4 linked regions of the Caenorhabditis elegans genome follow. The protein of the gene in region 2 interacts with the protein of the main gene of each other region in a biochemical or structural test. Each region holds a gene or a part of one and is shown on either strand. Other genes may lie near its edges.

Region 1 (4,360 bases), on a different chromosome or scaffold from region 2:
TATTTTTGGTTTTAGATTTTGAAAATAAGCTTAAAAATATAATTAATCTGAAAGGTCCTGTATTTTGGTCTTTACCTATATTTTTTTAAATAGAAAAAAGCTTATTGCGATTTGAACCATTTGTCTGATGAATACCTTGTTTACTCGTTTTTAGAGCTTTTAAAGCTCATTTTCTTTGTTTGGATGAGATTAATGTACAACGAGATCCTAAAACGACAATATCTATTACGTAATTTACGAATATTGAGTTAACTAAAAATGAATAAGGCTGAAAATAATGTGATAATTTTTTAGGGATAACAGAAATTTGTGCAGAGATCGAAGCAGGAGTTTGTGGCCCCGAATGCTGAATTGACCAAACTAAGAATTTAACGTTAAAATGTATTGTTGAAAAACACTAGAATTTTTGCTCAAAATATGTTATTTTCTGTTTTCGCGGTAATCATAAACCGAATTGGATATTTTATTTTTTCGAAACTTTTGCAATCGGCTCGGCTTTGGTAGGAAACTATGTATAAGTACTACTTTATCTTCAATTCTAGGGAATTCTCGGTTTTATTGTGAATAAAATCCCTAGGACTGATTTTTTCCATGTATTAATTGCCATACGAAATTTCTCGGAAAATGTTCTTAAAAATCATCAAAAACCAAAATTCAACGATCATTACACTTTCCACAAAACTACAAAATTGGCACCCAAAACTCAATTTCAGGAGCTTTATTACTATATAGTCGGCACATTATGTTAGAAATTCAAGAGATAGACGCCTCAATGGATTTATTACGGCAACTACGATCCTTGAAACAGTATCCATAATGTTTGTTCAACCCCTGCAGGGAAGACACCAACTGTTTCATTAATGTAATCCTGACTGATTTTCCCGGATTCTACCATTACAGTTGCAGGGTACAATTGCACAATTGGAAAATTCTTAAATATAAGGGCACTCATAAACTTAATAAAAAGTCAAATGTCAAACTGAAAGCTGTTTTTATTTGTTCAACAGAAAAAGAGGAAGTGAGATAGAAAAAGAGAGAGAGAGTAAAAAGAACATTGTTTCTGCAGCGTTTTCAAAGAGAAAAGGAGAGGATAGATATTTCTTCGGAATTGGAATTGTGGAGTGTCTGGAACATCATTTTTGTATAAAGTTACATTGAGAGGAAAGAGAGAAAATGTTGTGTCATGTTGTTCGTTCGTTCGAGCAGCAACCGTTTATCCAAATCGGAGAGGACGAGGACCGAGACCACGTTTCATTGATCTGAAATTTTAAAATTAGTTTACTTTTTTCTGAATCGCAACTAATTTATTCTAGCTGAATGCTCGTATTTCGGTAAATTATTAATTATAGCGATTTGCAACTTATTCTACAGTAAGACTTGACTTAATAAAGATGTCTATCAGAAAATAATTAAACTGGACCTACCCATGATCGTCTTCGGCAACATAGTAAACTCTGTCACTGCCGGGTCCGAATTGCTCCAAATATGCGTTCACTGAAAAAGATTAATGATTAATCTAAATCTTTAACTTTGACAAAACTTACAAACGCGGAGCGCATCTTCCTGATCGATATAAGGCGCTGCGAGGACCCACGCGAGAAGACACGAAAGCAAGATGAACAGCCGCATCGTCTGAAAATGACTTTTTGGATTTTGGAGCAATGAGAGGGTGGGAGATCAAACGTTGAATACACAATCAAATCTTAAATAGTGTACATAGTCATCGTTGTAAATTTGCATTTGTTAATGAGATTCTTGCGAAGCATGATGGGATGGGGTGGAAAAAAAGAAGTTTTGAGATAAATAGTAAGACGGAAGTGATCACTACGGTAGCTTTGAAACAAGAAATGAATATTTCAGTGTATCCCCTTCCAAATCTACTGGACTACTCACAAAAATGACCTTTGCTCCAAGAGCAACCACCCATCCTAGAACCTAGGCAAATGATACATCGAAATGTTTTTTCAGGTAAGATGATGTTATATGTATACGTGATTCCGGTAAAAGTTTTTTCTGGGAACTATGAGGAGGGTGTATGTGGTGGGAAAACAGGATAGCCCAATATTTATTGGGCACGTCATACTCGTTGCAGAGCATAGTTGAGGTGGCCGGAAATCGCGTTAAAATATGCTATGACTTGAAAACAACAATGGTCCTATTTTGGAAGATGTAATTTTACGCGATAATTCAACGAGAGATTGTAATAAAGACGTGTAGATTTTGAGTAACCATAAAATATGAAAAATTCATGAGTATTACAAATATGCAGTTTTTGGAATAAAGAAAATAGCTGACTTGAAAAATCTACTGCTCGATGACTTTGTCTAATTACGGTCTTGAAAGAAAGCAAACAGCGTCTTGTGCATTATGAGGTTTTTTGAATAAAAGGAAGTGTGCTCCGCTTAATTAAGATAAACATGTTTCAGTGTAAGTAGTTGGTCCCGACTGTAAACGCATCAGAAAACTTTAAGGTGAGAACAGTTGAGTTTCAATGCACGTATTTGATACAGCCAAAAGTTATTAAACTTTAATTGAAAAGTAGAGATTTCCACAACACATCTAACCTTTTAAAAATGTGACAGTTGATTTGAAAAAAAAATCTAGGACTGAACTAGGAAAACTGTTGACATACGTTCTTCTTTCTTTTCCCCTTTAATACCACATTGTTTTGGTCAAAAAAGTCTTTAAGATTTTTAATATTCGCAGACATCTCAACCAAATGAGGAACAGTCACAATGAAGACCACCTCAAAATGCATGTAGGTTCTTCTTTTTTCTGATATTTTTGCACAGCCTTCCCCAAAACATTCACAAACACATAAAAAACACCAACCAATTGATATACCCACAAAAGTGATGTGAAGAGCAAGTGGGAGTAAGATAAATGTGATGAACGATGAGGTGGAGGGTAAAAGTGATGAGAAAATGTAGTCTTACAAATATTCAAAAAAGTTGGTAGTTTTTGATACGATAAGTTTTCGATGAAAACCAAAAAAAGAAATAAAGAAGCTTTATGAGCCGAAAAAAGTAGAGATTTCCACGATTATCGAGTTACTTCGGGGCACATTTCGTCATCATCGAAGAAGAGGAAACAAATTTTCGTTGGCTCATTGACTTTCAAAGTTAAACTTCTTTAGAGAGTTTAGCGAGGCATAAAAACTTGAAAATTTTGTAATTTTTGGACTCGGTTTCAAACTAAAGAATGGAAAAACTTTTCCCTGTCCAAATGTCAAAGTCGCATAAAAATTGTCATTGGTAACAAAAAAAGTAGTGTTTTAGTGGGTCAGTAGATCAAATTTAACATTTGGCAGGTGAAAGAATTTGTAGAGGTACACGTCAAATGCTGGTTTTTGACGCGTTTTCTCCAAGATCTCTTATATTTTGGTTTTGGAAATATCAGCATTTTACGAAGTGGCCACCTAACAATTACAGACGAGTATTCACATCACCATATGTATTTGTGATTTTTCGAGGAATGATATCGAAGACTGAAAATTAGAATAAAATTCCAGGATAAGAAGGCTTTGGCTTAAAATCAGAGCTTAAGCTATTAATTTGTCATTTTATTATTTACGAAACAGCGTTCAGACAGAAATGTCATAGACTCCACAGTAATAAGACAGACGAGTGATCAAAGTTCCGTACAATTTACGAGAGTAATTTCTTACGACGTAACTATCAAGAAATAGGTGACTGCGTTTACATATTTCCGGTTTTTTTGTGAACCTAAAATGATTTTCAAAAAAAAATTCTACTGCGGCAAACACAGACATTCGGACAAGAGAAAGGTACATAGACATGAAAGCGTACCTGCCTACCATGAAAGTTATAGGCCAAACTTAAGGTTACGGTATTTCTAAAAAAAAGTAAGGCAGCGGAAAATTTTTGCCGAAATCGCCCTTTGCCGTCCACCCTCGGATCTAACAATATACAAATAGCCAGCTCGTGTAGTTTGCCAAAATTTAATTCGAAATTTGTTTTAAAAAAATGCTTACAATGTTAAATTGGAAAACCGAGTTTCCAAAATTTTGCTACACTGGGCATAGCGCAGAAATTTTACGCAAATATAATAAAAGTTGTCCTAGAACAAATGGACAAAAATTTGGACCAGGTTCAGAACGTTTATTGATGTTTGGGAAGGCTTATTTTATGCCTACACGCCTGCATGTGTATTTTTTGTAATTCGTCAAGACCTCATTTCAATTTAATCTTTGAAAAAGTGTACTCTAGCTGTAGGCCCAAGGTAGTAGTTTTTGTATGAGAAAAATTAGAATGACTGAAAAAATTTTTTCCACTTTCGGTCACTGGACCTAGTTTTCATTGAATATTCTGCAGCAGAAGATATGTAGACCGTGAAAGTA
Region 2 (7,169 bases):
CGGCTTCTGTGGGAGGCAGGCGCGGCTTCAGGGCCTGATGCCTGCCTCATCGCCATAGTTCCGCATTCTGATATGAAACCAGAGGCTTCCACATAGTGCAAAAGGTGATACTTTCGCAGCGGCCGACACATTCCGAGTTCAGTAGCCGTACTATGCAGTAGGCTTGGCTTGCGGCGTGATGGTCGCAGTGAGGCTTCCCCAAATTTGAAAAAAAAAGTATTTTCAGCCACCTTTTCAAAAATTTTGAAACAATTTCCTCTTGTTCAGAAATCATCTGAAAAGTGAAAAATACGGAAGATCTTTGATTTATTGTGAACAAACAGCATTATAGAAAAAGTTCGAGCATTCTCTCGCAGTACTTAGCAGGCTTTCTCATCAAAAACACCAATAGCGTTTTTGTGTGGCTCCGGAAGAAAAGAGCATTCCTGGTTTTAATAAACTTTTCCTGGTTCTGATAAAAACCGAAAACAACGGGATTCTTAAAGGTGGAAAAATAACAGAAATCTGAAAATTTGCTTTTTTTAGATTCAATTTGACATGAAACTACCGAATTTTGTACTGAAAGGTTTTGAAATTTATTCGAAAAACATGAAATGGTGGTGTAAAATTTTGGAAAAAAAAGTTGTATCTTAGCCAAAATTAAAATTTTTTCAATTAAATAAAATCAGAACTTGAATAAGTAAGTTTCATTTAATTATTACCCTTTATGAAAATTTACTATAAAATCCAAAATTTTGATAAAATAATTGTTATTTAGTTTTGCTTAAAATTTTCTCAAAACAAAGTTAAGTTGGATCAAAGTTTTGGAAAAATCCGATTTTGCAGTAGATTAGATTGATTTTTTTTTAACTAAAATCAAAAAATCAAACATTTTCTTGTTTGGTTTTTGATTAAAAATTATAATTTTATCGTTAATTTTCTGTAAACTTTTATACAAAATTAACGATTTAATTGTTCAAAAAAATGGAAAAATTTTTCGATTTTCCGATTTTCCCTTTAAAAAATTGAAGAAAATCGGAATTTTTTACTTCAGATTTTCAAAAAACAAACATTTTAATTTATCGATTTTTCGAAAGTTTCCCTGTAAAAATCAAAAAATCGAAAAAATGTGTCGCAGGGGGTGATAATTTAATGAACCTTATTTCTTCAAGTTGGGACTTTTTTAATTGGCAAAATTGTGAAAAAACGAGATTTTAGCTCAAAAAACCCCTCATTTCTACAATTGTTTTTCGGAAAAAAAAATTTTCGAAAATTTTTGGTCTGAAAAATGGAAAGTCTCAAGGTCTCAGATTTTGGAACTCCACCTTTAAAAACACACAAAGTTCTGTTTTCTGATACCAGTTTTCTTTTGTTGATGTTGTTGTTGTGTTTCACTTCTCCATTTCATATCCGGCCCGTTCCTGCATTTCCGATGTTTATGGATATCCACCACAAGATGGCAGAGAGAAATGTTTAAAAAAACCGACCTGGGTGGCCGAAATAAATGGCGGTTGAAAAGACGAGTTCCGTCAAAACAAAGTCATATAAATTTTTTATTCTTGTGGTGATGCTACTAGTTTGGTTTAATCGTATTTGGTTGTCTCTGGTGAGCTCATTCACCGCTTCTTTTGTTTTTTCAAAATTATTTTTCATGAACTGCTCCCACACATTTATTAATTTTTGCTATTTCCTATAGCTTTTGACTGTTTGCGAGATTCTTTCGAATTTGGTGCAATTCTTAACAGTAAACCAAAAATTATGGTCATTGCAATGGAGATGTGGTCAGTGCAACTGATAAAGTCAATCAAAATTTTTGTCAGTGCAAATGATATAGTGGTCAGTGCAACTGAAAATTTTGTCAGTGCAATTGGCATATATGATAGCCATTGGATAAAGTCATTCGAAGTTTTGGTCAGTGCAACTAAACATCTTGTCAGTGCAAGTTGTGTATTTTTAGGCAGCATAACATAGATGATTGTGGCTGGTAAAATTGAAAAAATATTATTAAAAAAAAAAACTAAGTTATTCCTGAAATTCGGTGCACATATTGCTCCCAAACCCCTGTCTTTCAACGTTATTGTTTTTATAAAGTTTCAATTTAAAAGGGATATGGGAGTAGACACCGGGGCGGGAGAATGAGTTAAATGAGATGATAGTTTTCACTTTTCAATTTTCATTTCTTCTCTATAATTCGCAGTAATTACCTCTCATTTTTTGATATTTTTCTCTTATAACCGACCGACTAACCACTAGTCTGGATGCTCAATTTCTTGGAATATTCGTTTATTTATTTCCCTTCTGTGTGAGAAAATTGGCGTTTCACATATTTTTTTTCTTGCCTTCAATTTCATCTCCCGTATTTTTGTATTTTCGTCGGTATTTTCAGAACTTTCAACAAATGGGATCGGTGAATGAATCATGTGACAATTATGTAGAAATTTTCAACAAAATCAACTACTTTTTTCGAGATGATCAGGTTATCAATGGGACTGAGTATTCACCAAAAGAGGTTGGTATTCAAAAAGACAATTTTTTTAAATTTTGTCAGTGCAAATCAAAACTTTGTCAGTGCAAATTTAAAAATGGTCAGTGCTTACTCAAAACTTAACATTCAAATTTTCAGTTCGGATATTTCATCACATTCGCATACATGCTGATCATTTTGTTTGGAGCAATAGGCAACTTTTTGACAATCATCGTAGTCATACTCAACCCAGCAATGCGGACAACAAGGAACTTTTTCATTTTAAACTTGGCGCTGTCGGACTTTTTTGTGAGTATTTTTTGCTGGAATTATTGAAGATAGGAAACAATTTGAAAAATTCCAGGTTTGTATTGTGACAGCGCCGACCACATTATACACGGTTCTCTACATGTTCTGGCCATTTAGCAGGACATTATGCAAAATTGCGGGTTCGCTGCAAGGCTTTAACATATTTTTATCCACATTCTCGATAGCCTCAATTGCTGTTGATAGGTATGTACATATATTTTTTTTAATTAAAAATGCCATTTAACAAGTTTTCAGATACGTGCTCATTATCTTCCCAACGAAGCGAGAACGACAACAAAATCTGTCGTTCTGCTTTTTTATCATGATCTGGGTGATTTCCCTAATCCTTGCGGTTCCACTTCTGCAGGCTTCTGATTTGACACCGGTTTTCGTTGAGCCATCGTGCGATTTGGCTCTTTACATTTGCCATGAGCAAAATGAGATATGGGAAAAGGTTGGTTCTTAGTGGTCTAAATGAACTATAAACTAAACAATAAGCTTCATGTATCAGCTCCTATTAATGAAATATAAAAACTGTCTATGTACTGTAGTATTACTGTAATAATTAGGTTAATATGGTGTGACGATAGTCAAGGGAACTTGCTTAATACTTTCTATGGAAATTTGCTTTGAGTAATAGAAAATGTGTCATAATTTCCAAATACATAAAAGAGTTGAAAAAAAATTTAAAAAAATTGTTCCGATTTTTTAAAATTTTCAAATAAAATTTCAAATGACTTTTTAAAGTTTTCAGTTTTCTGAAAACATGTTAACTGGTATTATATTAACCAGTATGTATGGAAATATAAAAACAAATATAAAAAAAGACAATTTCGGCTAAACTCCAATTTTTCCAGATGATCATATCAAAAGGCACCTACACGTTGGCAGTTCTTATCACCCAATACGCATTTCCCCTGTTTTCACTAGTCTTCGCCTACTCCCGGATAGCACATCGGATGAAGCTGAGATTTGCAAACCGAAATCAGAATGTGACAACAAATACCAATACGAGTCAGAGGAGACGGTAAGAAATTTTTGAAATGTTTTTGTTTCGAAAAATGTAAAGTTCCACGTTTTAAGTGGCATTCGAAATTTTTGAAACACTGTTCTAACAGAACTTTTCTGAGAAAATCTGACCCACCTGGGCCGAATACCACAATTTAAAAATTGAAACAATTTTCTAAATTTGATGTAATTTTTTTTGAAAATTGGGAAAATCTCTATTTGTGCAAAAAAAATAAATAGCCCAATAAAAATTTTTAGAGCATTTTTTGAAATGTTTTACTATGATATTTGACACCATAGGAGTTGTTTTTATCAATTTACCCATTTGGGCTATTCCACCTTTACTACTGTGAAACTTCGAGAAAAATGTGCTCAAAATTTGTTATTTTATCTGCGGTCATAAAATTTTCAAAAAATGTTAGTAAAAAACTTTAATTTTTTGTAAAAAAATCATGTGAATGAACTTATACTAAACTGATATCTACAACATTTTGAAATTAACCCAATCACCCAATTTCAAGTTATTTTTGAAACTTTCGGATCATTACTTGCCTGGAGAACTAAATTTTGAGCTTATTCAAAAATCAAACAACTTAAAATTTTTCACATAATTTATTGTACAAAATAGATGTTCTTCGAAATAAAATTATTTTAAAAAAAGTTCCAGATCCGTCGTGGAACGTCAACGACGCACCCACCTCCTTCTTGTATGCGTTGTAGCTGTATTCGCCGTCGCCTGGCTGCCACTCAACGTTTTTCATATCGTAGGAGCATTTTCGTTTTATGTTCCACTAAAACCATAACAAATTTCAGTTCAACACATTCGAGCTGGTCAACAGTTTTTCCGTTACAACGTTCAGCATCTGTCACTGCTTGGCAATGTGCTCGGCGTGCTTGAATCCGCTGATCTATGCATTTTTCAATCATAACTTCCGGATCGAATTTATGCATCTTTTCGATAGAGTTGGGTTGAGGTTTGTGAACATTTTAAGTTAATTTTGGTAACACTTATGTGTAAAGTTGGTGGAAAATTTTTGCAATTTTGTCATTTTGCACAAAAACGTCCAGTACCAGGTCCCGTCACGATACATTTTTGTTAAATACAAAAGTATGTGCGCCTTTGAGGAAGGAGTACTGTAATTTTCAAACTTTATTATCGCTAAAATTTCATGAATTTTTCATAGACATACGGTTTTCTCAAATTTTCAATTATTAATTTGATGATTTTTTTTTTCGTAAAATTAGTTGATAAAAACAATGAGTTGTAAACTACAGTACTCTTTAAAGGCTCACCTTCCAATTTTTGAAAAAAAATTGCCGTGTTAAGACCCTGCCGGCAGGTGGTCTAAACACAGTGGGGCTATTACACTGTGGAAAACCTTTCCTCAAGAGTTATATAAATATAATAGGAACTACCAAGGTACTGTAATAGTTTGGTAGAAGAACTGTTGCGGTGTGTGGCCTGGTTTACAGCTTTTGTATCAAAGTCGTGATACACCCAGAAAATAAAAGCGATCTACCAATTAAGCGCCCTAAGTTGACACGCATAATAAAGAGGTCCTTTATTATGGGAACATAAAATTTTGAGAATGCGTATTGCACAACATATTTGACGCGCAAAATATCTCGTAGCGAAAACTACAGTAATTCTTTAAATGACTACTGTAGTGCTTGTGTCGATTTACGGGCTCAATTTTTGAAGTGATTTTCTTTTTGAATAGGGACATCAATATTCCATTTTTTTTCGTTTTTGTTATATTTTCCTCCTTAATTTATATATTATATTGATAAACAAATGATTTTAATTCAATTTGAGAATCAAGCTCCTAAATCGACCTACAGTAGCCATTTAAATAATTACTGTAGTTTTCGCTGCGAGATATTTTGCGCGTCAAATATGTTGTGCAGTACGCATTCTCACAATTTTGTGTTCCCGTAATACCATTGATCTACAAAAATTGCGGAGATTAGGCTCACGGAATAATGAGTAAATTTGAAGAAAATTATAGATGGTTGTACTGTAGAAAAATCTGAAAATTCAAAAAAATATCGCAATATTCCAGATCCCTTCGAGTCGTGATATTTGGAGAGCAAGAGTCGCTCAAGAAAAGTATGCGCACTGAATTCAGAAGCCGTGGAGGCTGTAAGACGGTAACTACTGCAGAGCCAGCAACCTTCCAGAGAATGAATGAAAGTATGATTCTGAGTGCGATGGAGCAAGATGAGCAGCTGTGATTGTTTAAGAAAACATGTAGGGTAACAATAAATCATTCCGTCATTGTTTCAAAACGCTTCTAAAACCTAATTTATTTGATTTTGATGTTCTTTTTTTTTACTTTTTTTTTCGTTTCCGTCAGTATGTTGCTGATTCAGCCTATTATGTTTCACATATGAAGATTTGTAAATGAAGCTTGTCATAAGAGAGATGATTGGTCAAATTTGAGAGAAGTGACCGAAGATTAGGGAGGGGACTGACTGAAATGCGCAGTCATGCGGAAAATTTAGGGTATTTTTGAGTTGAACAACCATATTGTTCGGCAGCTTTTCAAAACAAATGGCGTCATGGATATGGAAGTTTTTGGTTCTTCGTTTCGAGACAGGAAAGTGAATTTTAATGAACTACTCATCGGAAACTGGTCAAAAAAGCTTGTTTTTTTTAAGGGAGGGGGGATTTGATGTAAGAATGATAACAAAAATCTTTTGGGACAAAAGTATATACTCACGTGGAGTCAGAATATCTCATTTCGGTTTGATCTTCAAAAAATGCGGGAGTTGAGACGCAGACATCTCAATTGATTTTGCATGGTTAAAAGTGTGCTGACGTCACAATTTTTGCAAAAATATTCCCGCATTTTTTGTAGATCAACCTGTGATGAGACAGCCTGACGCCACGTGTATACTGTGTACACTAAAAAATGCAAACGCTACGTTTGAGTATTATATGCAAATGTAATTTTTAACATGCTTGCAGGGGGTTTTCAAAAATGAAAATTCTTTATAGCTTTTTTAAAATTGTGTTTTTCTTATAAAAATCCAATTTTTTAGATCGAGTGGGGGCAAACTTTTTGTTCTAAAAAAATATATTTTGAAGATGTTCCAAAAAGGTGGTCACAAGCAATCGACTCCAGCCTCTCCCCGGCTAGGATTTGGTTATAATTCAATTATGACCTCTGAACTCTTTTCTATAGTTGAAGGGGTACTGAGTTGAACGTTAGTGGGGGACAATGCCATGGTACTGTAGTGGTACTGTTCAAGTACTGTAGGACTACTGTAGGGTTACTGTAGTTTGGGAAAATTCGAATTTTTAGCTTTTGAAACGGTACTGGGTTGGGAGTTGGTGGAGGATTAAGACAATGAACTGTAGTGGTACTGTAGGGGAACTGTAGAATTGATGTAGGGTTACTGTATC
Region 3 (4,787 bases), on a different chromosome or scaffold from region 2:
GTGAAACTGTACTACATTCTAATTCAAATATGCCTAGAAAGGCTTGAAATCGTTCCAAAATTCAAGGTTTCAATAAAAAAAATGTTGTCAAAACGCCTTAGAGTACCTGAGCCTGAGCCCCTTTGGTCAAAACTTGGCAGGGCTCCAGCCGAAACTTGACCTAGATCTCCCCTTCCCCATCCGACATCAATTTCCTCCCGCAAACAATAGCTATTCTGGTCTCCCCGACAATTGTATTTTGATGCCCGGTGACATGTCAATACGCACTTCCGATACACTTTATTATACCTTTCTTGTTTACACGTGGTTTTGTTCTTTCTTTGATTCTGGAAATTGTTGTGCAAAAAGAAAATGCTGAAATTCCAGTCGACCCGGCGGTGGAGCCGAAGAGGATCATGCTCCGACAGAGTTTACTATGGAGATGGCTGTGAACTCGGAATCCAATCGTTCTGATTAATTTATCAACTATTTATTTTTCTCACCCATATCAATAAAACATATTTGTCAATGCTCATCGTTTATTTTTGGCTTTAATTTTGCATACGAAGAGTGTCGGGGCCGCACCGATGTCAAGGGAAGAGGACAGAGAAGGAAAGAAGGGAACAGAGAAAACGACAGACACAGAGGAAGAGAGAGAAAGAGAGAGAGAACAAATTGTGAGAATTTCAAATTTCAGATTGAGCTGAGCATCAGGTTTAACCAAAACGTGGCTTTTGGATTCCGTCAATGGTGCGCAGGAATCCTGACATGTCCTCGAAGCCTTCCAGCGGGGCACGACGTTCCTTGGCTGGGAGGAATCGTCTGAAAATTAGGCTTTGAGAGAGGGAACGAGGACTGTTGAAAAGGAGCCTACTCACTAGAGCGAAGAGATAGTGAAGAGATCAGGAGCCTAAGCCTAAGCCTAGGCCTAAGCCTGAACCTAAGCTTAGGCCCAAGCCTGAGCCTAAGCCTAAGCCTGAGCCTAATCCTAGGCAAGGGTGTCAAGTCCCGTGTTCCGTTTGCCCCGTTGTCCCGTTTTTTGGGTGTTTTCACGGGAACGGGACGTCCCGATGTCCCGTTTTTGTAATTTTTACGGGACATTGACACCCTTGATCCTAGGTCTAAGCCTGGGCCTGAGCCTAAGCCTAAGCCTAAATCTTGGTCTAAGCCTGAGCCTAAATCTAAGCCTAAGCCAAAACCTAAGCCTAAGCATAAGCCTAAGCCTAAGCATAAGCCTAAGCCTAAGCTTACGCCTAAGCCAAATAAGTTTAAAAAAACATTATAGTTAGGGCAACGCGACTCATTCAGCAAGTCATATTTATACATCGAAATCTCCAAGATCTAGTTCCCAACTCACTTGATAAATTCCAGCTCGGCGTTGCGAGCTTGACGAGCTTCCTGTGCCAGCTCTGCGGCTCCACCATCGGCAAACGCGGCAAGACGTGGCTCTACCGAGAAGCCATGCACGGCTGACAGCAACACAATTGCGACGATGAGAATAAGAAAACGCATGGTAGGGGGACCCTGGAAGTTTTTATTTTTTTTTTGGGTGAAACAGTGAAAAAGCCCAACGAAACTTAATCTAGGCTCGGAACTCTAAAAAGCTCAACGAAACCCCCAAAAAGCTCGGAACTCGATTGACTTTCTGCTGGCTGCACAGCTTTTATACTATTCAGCTTACCTATATGTGCTCCAAAACCAAACACGCAGGAAACAATTAGAAGGCGTGGTCCCTCTCCGTCTTCTCCAAGAATGTAACAAATCTCAATCAAGACGGGTGACAAGTCAAGAGAGAGAGAGAAGGTAATTGTTCATGAGCTCTTTGATGGGCAGTTGTTTTCGGGTGGAAGCAAGTATAATGCTACAAATAATGGAGGAGGATGATGATGACAATGCCATGATGACGAAGTTCCTGTTTGGTAATTCTGGAAGGTCGTATGGAGTCTATTTCAGTTGTGACATTGGTTTGGTTCCGGTACCATGGCCAAGTGATATCATTTCAATATTTGTGTAGGCCAGATTTTCGATTCCTATTCCGGTGACCGGACCGGATCAAACTGTCACGCGATCTGTTCACTTTACTAAGAACCCATTATTCCTTAATCACGTGGATCGGCCGGTATCACACCTAGATGATATCATTCAATCGTTGTGTCACGCAATATGGGAAACCCATTAAGTTTTCCAGTGTAATTTGATTTTTTCTCGGAATATGTAACTTTAATTTTGGTGGAACAGGCACTTCCAGACCTTCTTTCGGCTAGATCCAAGTCCCGGTTGCTTTACCGGATCGGAGTGTCACGCGATCTGAAAATCTTAAAATTGAGACTTTTGGCAATGGATTTTTGTGCAAAAGAGCATGCCAGTCTGATCGAACTCGGAACTTCAGAGTCAATCCAGCTTGATTTAGCAGACACACTAAACACGCCAGTGTGGTCCATAGAAATGTGGTCTACGAGAATGGCGGGAGTTCAGATGCGGCGGACTTTTCAACTAATTTCGCATGTTTGAGAGTACACACAACTAAATCTGATTAAATCTGATGATCACATTTTTGTAGTTCCGCCGGGTCTTCTTATAATATACAGGTAATTTTGCTAAGAATCTTAGTTCTATGTACCCCTCCAGCCATTCGTAACGTCGATCTAGTATTAATGGGGCATATCGTGCAGTGACTCGGTTCTGGTAACATGACCGGCTCTGATTGTCACGCGATCAGGAGCCTAGAAGTTTAATGCAAGTTTCAGGTAATTTAACTAGATGTTCCGGCCACACCGCCGGATTCAAGTGTCACGCGATCTGAAAGTTCCTTATAGGTTTTTTGTGCAAAAAGTTAAGCAGAAGCTTGTCACGCAAGTTGGGTTTTTGGCAGTTTTTCTGGAAAATTTAAAATGTGAACTTTTACTTGGCCGGAGTAAAATTAGGATAACTGGATTGAATATGGTTCAAGCCCTAAAAGTGTATAGTTATGGTCTTTATGTAGTTGAAAAGGTATAAATATCATTAAAACAAGCAAGTTTATCAACTTCCTACATAATCTTCCAAAAGTAGTCCACTACTTCCAATAAGAGCTTGGCCATCTGTCGTGGCGTAAACGAGGAATGTTTCAGTGGGCTTGTTCGCTGATAATTTGTGAATTTCTCGTTGATAAGACGTTGATTCACATCAATGATCACCACAATTATGGATCGGTAGATATTGCACTGAAATTTTGAATATTTAGGAAAAAAAAACAAAAAAATTGCTTCAGTGGGGACTAGAACCCTTTTTATTTTTTTAACCAAAAATGGTACTTTAATAAAATTTTAATAATTTTTAGACCATTTTCTACCCAAATACCCACCACATCTTCGGGCATATTATTGAACGGAGCCTCTCGCTCCACATGCTCCATGGCTTCACGTAAAACTGGCAGGTTTCGTAAAAGCACGTCACGTTGGTAATAGCAATACTTGAATTGGTGACCACATTTGCAAGCAATCACTTGTACAAAAAACTGAAGGAAAAAAATTGGAAAAAATTGGAAAAAAACCAACCTTTCTATCAAAAAATTCACAATTCTGGCTTGCCACGTGGCTCTGAAACCCCTTGTTGTCCCGAAATCGGCGTTGACATGTGGTACACACATATAAGCCCTGAAATTTAACAAAAATAAAGGAAAAACTCTGAAAAAAGAGCCCAACATATGCTCGTTCCTCCTGCTTCTCCTGGTAGCGCAAAAAGTACTTGTAGTTGAGAAGTAGGTGCCTGGAGTCTAGGAATAGGTGTTTCTGAAAACTTGATTTTTAAAAATAAAATAAATTGAATTTTTTGGAGTATTTTGAGTCAAAAAAAAACTAGAAAAAAGCTTACAAATTAGATGAGTTATGGAAGTTTGAAACTTTTCAAACAAGAATTCTGAGAAAATTTTGGGTCTCACGAAAACTTATTTCCTAACAAGTTTCTTCAGAAAATTTTCAGGCTAAAAAGCTTTAAATTTTTCAGATTCCCAGCTTTTCCAAATTTTAAAATACAAATTCCCAATGAAAACTCACATAATGCTGCTCAAAAAAGTGTCGGATACACTTCTCATTAGTTTCAAAAATGTACTTGCACACCGGATCCGGGCACATATGATCCCGGCCGTGTAAATGTGCCACGTACTCGTTACGTGACGACCAAGTACGATTGCAACAGTTGCAGATGTAAACTGGCTGAAATTTGGAGCAAAAATTTTTTCCTTGATTTATTTTTTCTAAATAAAAATTTCCCAACCTTCAAAAAATGTTTCTGCTGATCCCAAGCTTCTGTTTCAACAGATCCAGTTCCTTGTAAATGCTCCAAAGCAGTCTTATAGTCTGAAAACCGTACTCCACAGCAAAATAGTTGGCAGGATTGGTGCTCCAGGAGGTAATGGAATCTCGCATCAATGAGGTCCAAAAATAGTAGGCTACACGTGGAAAATGGACAGGGAATTACCTGAAAATCAAGAAAATTGCAAACAAATTTTCAAAATATCCAAGTGGCGCAGTGAGATTTTGGACAGCATATTAATCTCAACACCGTGGTTCGAATCCACCTAATGACATCACTAGTTTTACTAGATTTTATAAGTTTAACAAAAACATTTGAACGCACAAATTCAAAATCTGGTAGCTGAATCTGAAATTTTCCATCTAGAAATCCGTTATATGCATCCATATGGACAAATTGGTGCCATAGACGGGAGAGCTCCGAGCTGAGTATTTGGTGGCATTTCGGGCAAGTTTCACGCTGGAAAAAACGTTTTAAAAGTTAGGAGTTTGTCTACAATACCCCTAGAGTCATCC
Region 4 (5,197 bases), on a different chromosome or scaffold from region 2:
ATGTCAATACATTTGATAGCCGTCTTTCGGGAATCCAAAAGAATTGGGTAATCATTGTCAATGAATACTTTATATACACCGCCATCTGTGGTTCCTAGTACAAGAGTTTCACGATGAGCAGGACCACCGAGAACCTAAAAGTTTGTTGGTTACAATTAATGATGTAGGATTGACTAAAATAAATATTAAAAATATTTGCAGTTTCAAAAACTTTGAAAGTTATTCTCGCCAGTTAGCTATAGCTAACTGGCGAAAATAACTTATAATACAACCCAATAAAAATCGTATAGATCAGTTACCAAACAAGGTTTGTTTGGTTAAAAAACCACATTTCTAATTATGGCAACTTTTAAATGTATTTTTCAATGTATTTTTTGAATGTTTATAACCCGCAAACTTGTCTTTTAAACTTTAAAAAATAACGAAGGTTACTCACTCTTAAATACCTGACAATTGACTTCATATTCCATGATCTTTTTTTGATTCCTTTAAAATCATAACACTCTAATTTTTCATCATTGCAAACCACCAGATGGCCGTGTGTAACTACCTGAAAAATAGATTGAATATAATACATAATTATTTGCTTGCTAATTATGATTTGCAAATGTTTCAATTTCTATGCTTCTCGAGTCTTACCGAACCTTGATCCACATTTTTCCATATTTGAAACAAACCTATAATTTTTTTTGATCAAAAGATTTTTCAAAGTTCTTCATCAAGTTCTTAACTAGAATGTATCCATTTTAGAGGAAACTTTCAAGAAATCAGATCTAAAATCCCCATGGTAGATATAACACTATTTAAAATCAACTATGAAAACTGAAATCATCAAAGAATTTCCTCAACTCACCATTAATGAAAATGACAAATCCTTCCGAATAGTGTCTTGTAATGTGTACTTGAGCTGCTTTCTCCTTTCATTTTTAGACACACCTCCAGTTTGCTTATATATTTGAATTTTGTCAGAAAGCTGAACAGCCAACTTTGTGTCATAAAGTGACATTTTCTTGACAAGATCATGACAACAAATATTGGAACTTGTACGATACTCCAGATTTTGAACAAATACATCCGTCATTGATTTTCTGGAAAAAAGATCAGGTGATTTTCGTCAATTGCCAAAAAGATGTGAAACCTTTTTCATTTATCAAAAACGAAACTAACCGATTTGCATATCTTGCGTGATCAACGCAATGAACCGTTGAGAATACCAAATTATAGCATGCTATAGTTCCATCAACACATCCCATGGCAACAGTTTGAGAATTTGGACGTACTGTCACTGACCAAATCCAATGATCCATTTGAGCAACTGTTCCGAGAAGTACTCCTATAAATTTATTTTCAACAGTCGATCATTCAATATTGTGGGAATTAATTTTTCAATTCCCTACTACAACTACTTACTAAAGGCAATTATTTCAGGTCACGATTTGACATCTGAAAGAAACCTAGTTTATTTGAAAAAGGGCCTCCAAACTAAGTTCCTGCAAAAAACTTACTTTAGCAGCAGTGGAGTACGTTCACTATTATAGAAAGAGGTTCAGTCAAAAAGAATTTTTAAAAAAGTAAATAAATAAAATTAAAATATGAATTAAAAATTAAAATAAAATTAAAATATGAAAAATGTTTCAGTGCTAAATTTTTTGCAGAGACCTAGTGTGAAGTTCCTCTTTCAAATAACGTAGGTTTCATTAAAAAAAAGTCTAATTGAGATCTGAAATGCTTTCCCTGTAAATTAAAAAATTATTCCCTTTTTCAAAACTGACCTTTCCTTGTGTATATTTTTAGAATCTTATCCGATCCACCAATCAATAAATATTCTCCATTTAAACAATAACTGATACAATGCGGTTCAAATTCCAAATTCTTTGATTCAATAAACGTTCCATCAAGTGAATAAAAAGAAAGTGTCTTATTCCAATCAATTACAGCCATTATTTCATCAATACCCATTGGATTTCCTTGTGAATCTCTTGATGCAAATGTGCGATTTGATGAGAATGCAATACCCCAAATTGGTTCATTATCACGTTGAATTATTATTGACGGTTCCTCGGTCTTTAAATTAATGTATTAACTATTTTAAATATCGTTTTTTAAACTAATATTTGCGGTAAAATATGTACATTTTCTGAAATTGAAATGATATTAATATTTTCTTACCGCATTAGTTCCCTTTCTCAGTGTGATTGTACCATCTCCATGACCTATTGCAAATATGGTACCATCTGTATTCCATGCACAACTACAACATCTCACTACACTTCTTTGTTTTATCACATTTTTATCAGCAGTGGACCATAATCCAAACTCATTCAATGCACAAGTTAATAGAATTTGATTGCATGGATTGAACATCATACATTGGATTACGTCTGTGTGACTGAAATTTATAATTACATTTTTGCAATTTCGTATTACGAATTTTGAATTTTCAACAAAAATTGTAAAACTACAATTTGCTAAAAAAATATGGCAATAGCCAGATTCTCAGTCTGTTCGGAAAAATTCCAACCTGTATCTCAAAGTTCCCTCGTGTTTCTCATTCCACAAAATTACCAATTTATCAGCACCACCTGATGCAAATAGTTCGCCATTATGTGACCATGCGACTGTGTATACTAGATCTTTGTGTCCTGAAATTCAGTTGATTTAGAGTTAGAGAAGGGCTCAATGAATTCTTACTCTAAATAATTTTAAAACGTACTTACCTTTCAAAGTTTGCATTTGACCACCTTCATTAACATCAAACAAGTAAACTTTGTTATCTGCAGCCAACAAAAGTTCAGAGCCATCTGGTTTGAATGCGAGATCATAAATGCAAACTCTGGAAATTAATTTCTATTTCAAATGATACGTTTTAAATTATAATTGAGGTTTTCCGGTTCTTAAAAAATATGTGGTAAAATGATAATCTAGCTATTTAATTGTTCACAATTTTTGAAGGAATTCCTAAAAACCCAAAAAAAAAAACTGTTCCCCATGGAAGCCTAATTTTCTTGAAATCTTTTTCATCGTCATCATCTTCCTGAAATTCCAATCCATAGAATGTGTCCCGTTTTGGATGTATAAAACATAATGGAATTAGTCCTCGTCAAGCACGTCTTACGGACCCCAGATGCAAGAAATACAATATGAATATTAAAATCAAATTAATTATTTGTGGTAAATATCATCATCATCCTACTCATACTCATCATGGGGGGTTCAAGATTGGATACGGTACTTGCAAAGAAGGCTTATAAATAGCTCACATCTTCATTGGTTTTCTTCACTTTATCATGACTCTGCTCTACCAAGTAGGGTTATTACTCCTTGTGGCAGCTACTTATAAGGTTTCTTTCTTGATTTAATAATTTCAAAATTATAATTATTATTCAGGTGTCGGCAGAATGTTGCACACCGGGAGCCACTTCAGACTTTTGTACGGTCTTCTCGATGCTCTCCACCATGGAGCAAAATGAAGTGATGAACTTTATAGGTTTGTTCCTTTTGATTTCATTGAAGGGTTTAGTATACTATTCATTTAAAAAATATTGCCTACAATTGATAAGGTTATTTAGATAATGATTTAAAAAACTTCCAAATACGGGGAAAATCATGGTTATAACATTTAATTAGATTGATTTCAAAATTTAACTTAAGATCAACTGAAAACATATTCTAACTCTATAATTAGGGTCTTTGTTAGAATATTTGGTCGTTAGAAAACCCGCTATGTAATCACAAAAAGGCCTGTCTCGCCTGCCTCATGCCTGCACGGGTGTTCGTTGAACCTTGTGCGTAAATCAAGACTTTGCGCCTAAATGTACAAAATAAGAGATAGGCGGGCAGGCATAAGGCATGCAAGCTCGTCTGAAGCAACGCCTTCCTGCCAAGGTATCTGATGAATTTTCATAATATTTCCTCATTTTCAGGTGAAAACTGCGATGGTGATGCCGAGGTGGCACTGCAAAAGATGGAAAAGAGAAAGCCAAACTTTATGAGATATGGGCGATCAGCAGGTAAGTCTAACCTTTTTCTGATAAAAAAGAGCACAACTTGGTGCTCTTTTAGCTGTAAAGTCGCTGGGAAAGAAAGCCGGTTCAGACCCGAACTTCCTTCGATTCGGACGATCTCAACCAAACTTCTTGCGATTCGGAAAGGCTAGCGGAGACCCGAACTTCCTTCGTTTCGGTGAGTATTTGAATGGATTGGATTTGAAGAACATTTCAGATCTAACGATTCGAACTAAATTTCAGTTTATTTGCAAACAAAGCTTCCTCTCATAAAGATAGTCAGTTAGGGAACAAAATAGAAAATAATCAAGATTCTAAATGATAATCATTTTCAGGTCGAAGTGACCCTAACTTCTTGAGATTTGGAAAAGCCGCTGCTGATCCAAATTTCTTGAGATTCGGAAAACGATCTGCAGATCCTAACTTCTTGAGGTATGTTAAAAACAAAAATTATAATATTATCAAATTATTTCTTCAGATTCGGACGCTCATTCGACAACTTCGATCGTGAATCCCGCAAGCCAAATTTCCTTCGTTTCGGAAAATAAGAAACTAAAACTTCGACCGTCAGCATCAGATCGATCACACTCACACAGCAGCTAATTCAGGAACAATTTCTCTATTTTCTCTATTCTCTTTTCGTCTTTTTATCTTTCAGTGTCATTTGTTTTTGAAAATGAAAGAAATATTTTGAAATTTTAAACAACTCACCCAGCTTCATTGTTTTCGTCTAAAATTTTGTCGACCCATAGTAAATTTGGTCGCATTTTATAAAATAAGTGGAACTAGACAAGAACAAGCAAATGCCTGAGTTGCGTTGAAAAGCATTGGTTGCTATGGAGATTCACAGGCGCACGGGTGCTCTTGTCCTTAATTTGTGTGCTTAGAATGCAGAACACCTGTCATTAAGCAGAACGACGATTTATTGTTAACGGTTAAAATTCGAAAAATTCATCGCTTTTGAAAGTGATGAAATGAGAAAAATACGAAGATCAAGTATGAAATTTAAAATTCAACAAAATGATACAGGTTCAGCCAGGTTCATTAGCGGGCGTCGTACACCATCACTGAAAGTTCAAAAATGAATTTTTGTTTTCTATACAATTTAAAACTTACACTTTCTGCATCTTTTCTTGTATAGAATACGATATCCGCATTCTCTGCAGCGAATGGCGTCTTTCGGTTTGATTTCA

The links.
Region 1: of the proteins of npr-11 (region 2) and flp-21, one has a biochemical effect on the other in vitro, tested with the Caenorhabditis elegans proteins (2 studies listed by BioGRID, with this or other methods).
Region 3: of the proteins of npr-11 (region 2) and flp-33, one has a biochemical effect on the other in vitro, tested with the Caenorhabditis elegans proteins (one study listed by BioGRID).
Region 4: of the proteins of npr-11 (region 2) and flp-1, one has a biochemical effect on the other in vitro, tested with the Caenorhabditis elegans proteins (one study listed by BioGRID).

Annotation. Positions count from the first base shown.
Region 1 is NC_003283.11:7,790,639-7,794,998, reverse strand, and holds flp-21 (GLGPRPLRF-amide), read right to left. Parts: upstream 1,633-4,360; 5' UTR 1,630-1,632; coding exon 1,545-1,629; intron 1,495-1,544; coding exon 1,425-1,494; intron 1,260-1,424; coding exon 1,214-1,259; 3' UTR 974-1,213; downstream 1-973. UniProt on the Caenorhabditis elegans protein: FMRFamide-like neuropeptide. Involved in modulating locomotion quiescence during the sleep-like state called lethargus which occurs during molting between larval and adult stages, acting via the G-protein coupled receptor npr-1.
Region 2 is NC_003284.9:1,250,824-1,257,992, reverse strand, and holds npr-11 (Putative neuropeptide Y receptor 11), read left to right. Parts: upstream 1-2,345; 5' UTR 2,346-2,377; coding exon 2,378-2,488; intron 2,489-2,602; coding exon 2,603-2,752; intron 2,753-2,807; coding exon 2,808-2,956; intron 2,957-3,007; coding exon 3,008-3,206; intron 3,207-3,609; coding exon 3,610-3,779; intron 3,780-4,427; coding exon 4,428-4,524; intron 4,525-4,573; coding exon 4,574-4,734; intron 4,735-5,823; coding exon 5,824-5,995; 3' UTR 5,996-6,178; downstream 6,179-7,169. UniProt on the Caenorhabditis elegans protein: Could be a receptor for neuropeptide Y and peptide YY.
Region 3 is NC_003279.8:12,623,734-12,628,520, forward strand, and holds flp-33 (FMRF-Like Peptide), read right to left. Parts: upstream 1,506-4,787; 5' UTR 1,492-1,505; coding exon 1,337-1,491; intron 802-1,336; coding exon 696-801; 3' UTR 501-695; downstream 1-500. Other genes in the region: ntr-1 (G-protein coupled receptors family 1 profile domain-containing protein), read left to right, coding at 367-457; T07D10.3 (C2H2-type domain-containing protein), read right to left, coding at 3,009-3,182, 3,323-3,475, 3,516-3,614, 3,663-3,749, 4,014-4,172, 4,234-4,437, 4,597-4,731.
Region 4 is NC_003282.8:9,141,426-9,146,622, forward strand, and holds flp-1 (SQPNFLRF-amide), read left to right. Parts: upstream 1-3,279; 5' UTR 3,280-3,287; coding exon 3,288-3,341; intron 3,342-3,387; coding exon 3,388-3,487; intron 3,488-3,923; coding exon 3,924-4,010; intron 4,011-4,062; coding exon 4,063-4,182; intron 4,183-4,339; coding exon 4,340-4,436; intron 4,437-4,482; coding exon 4,483-4,552; 3' UTR 4,553-4,697; downstream 4,698-5,197. Other genes in the region: daf-10 (Intraflagellar transport protein 122 homolog), read right to left, coding at 1-134, 437-550, 854-1,088, 1,168-1,333, 1,773-2,064, 2,170-2,389, 2,522-2,642, 2,718-2,833 and 1 more; rpb-12 (DNA-directed RNA polymerases I, II, and III subunit RPABC4), read right to left, coding at 5,049-5,071, 5,121-5,197. UniProt on the Caenorhabditis elegans protein: Together with flp-18, plays a homeostatic role by acting on the GABAergic neural transmission at neuromuscular junctions to prevent overexcitation of the locomotor circuit. DPNFLRF-amide: Inhibits the activity of dissected pharyngeal myogenic muscle system.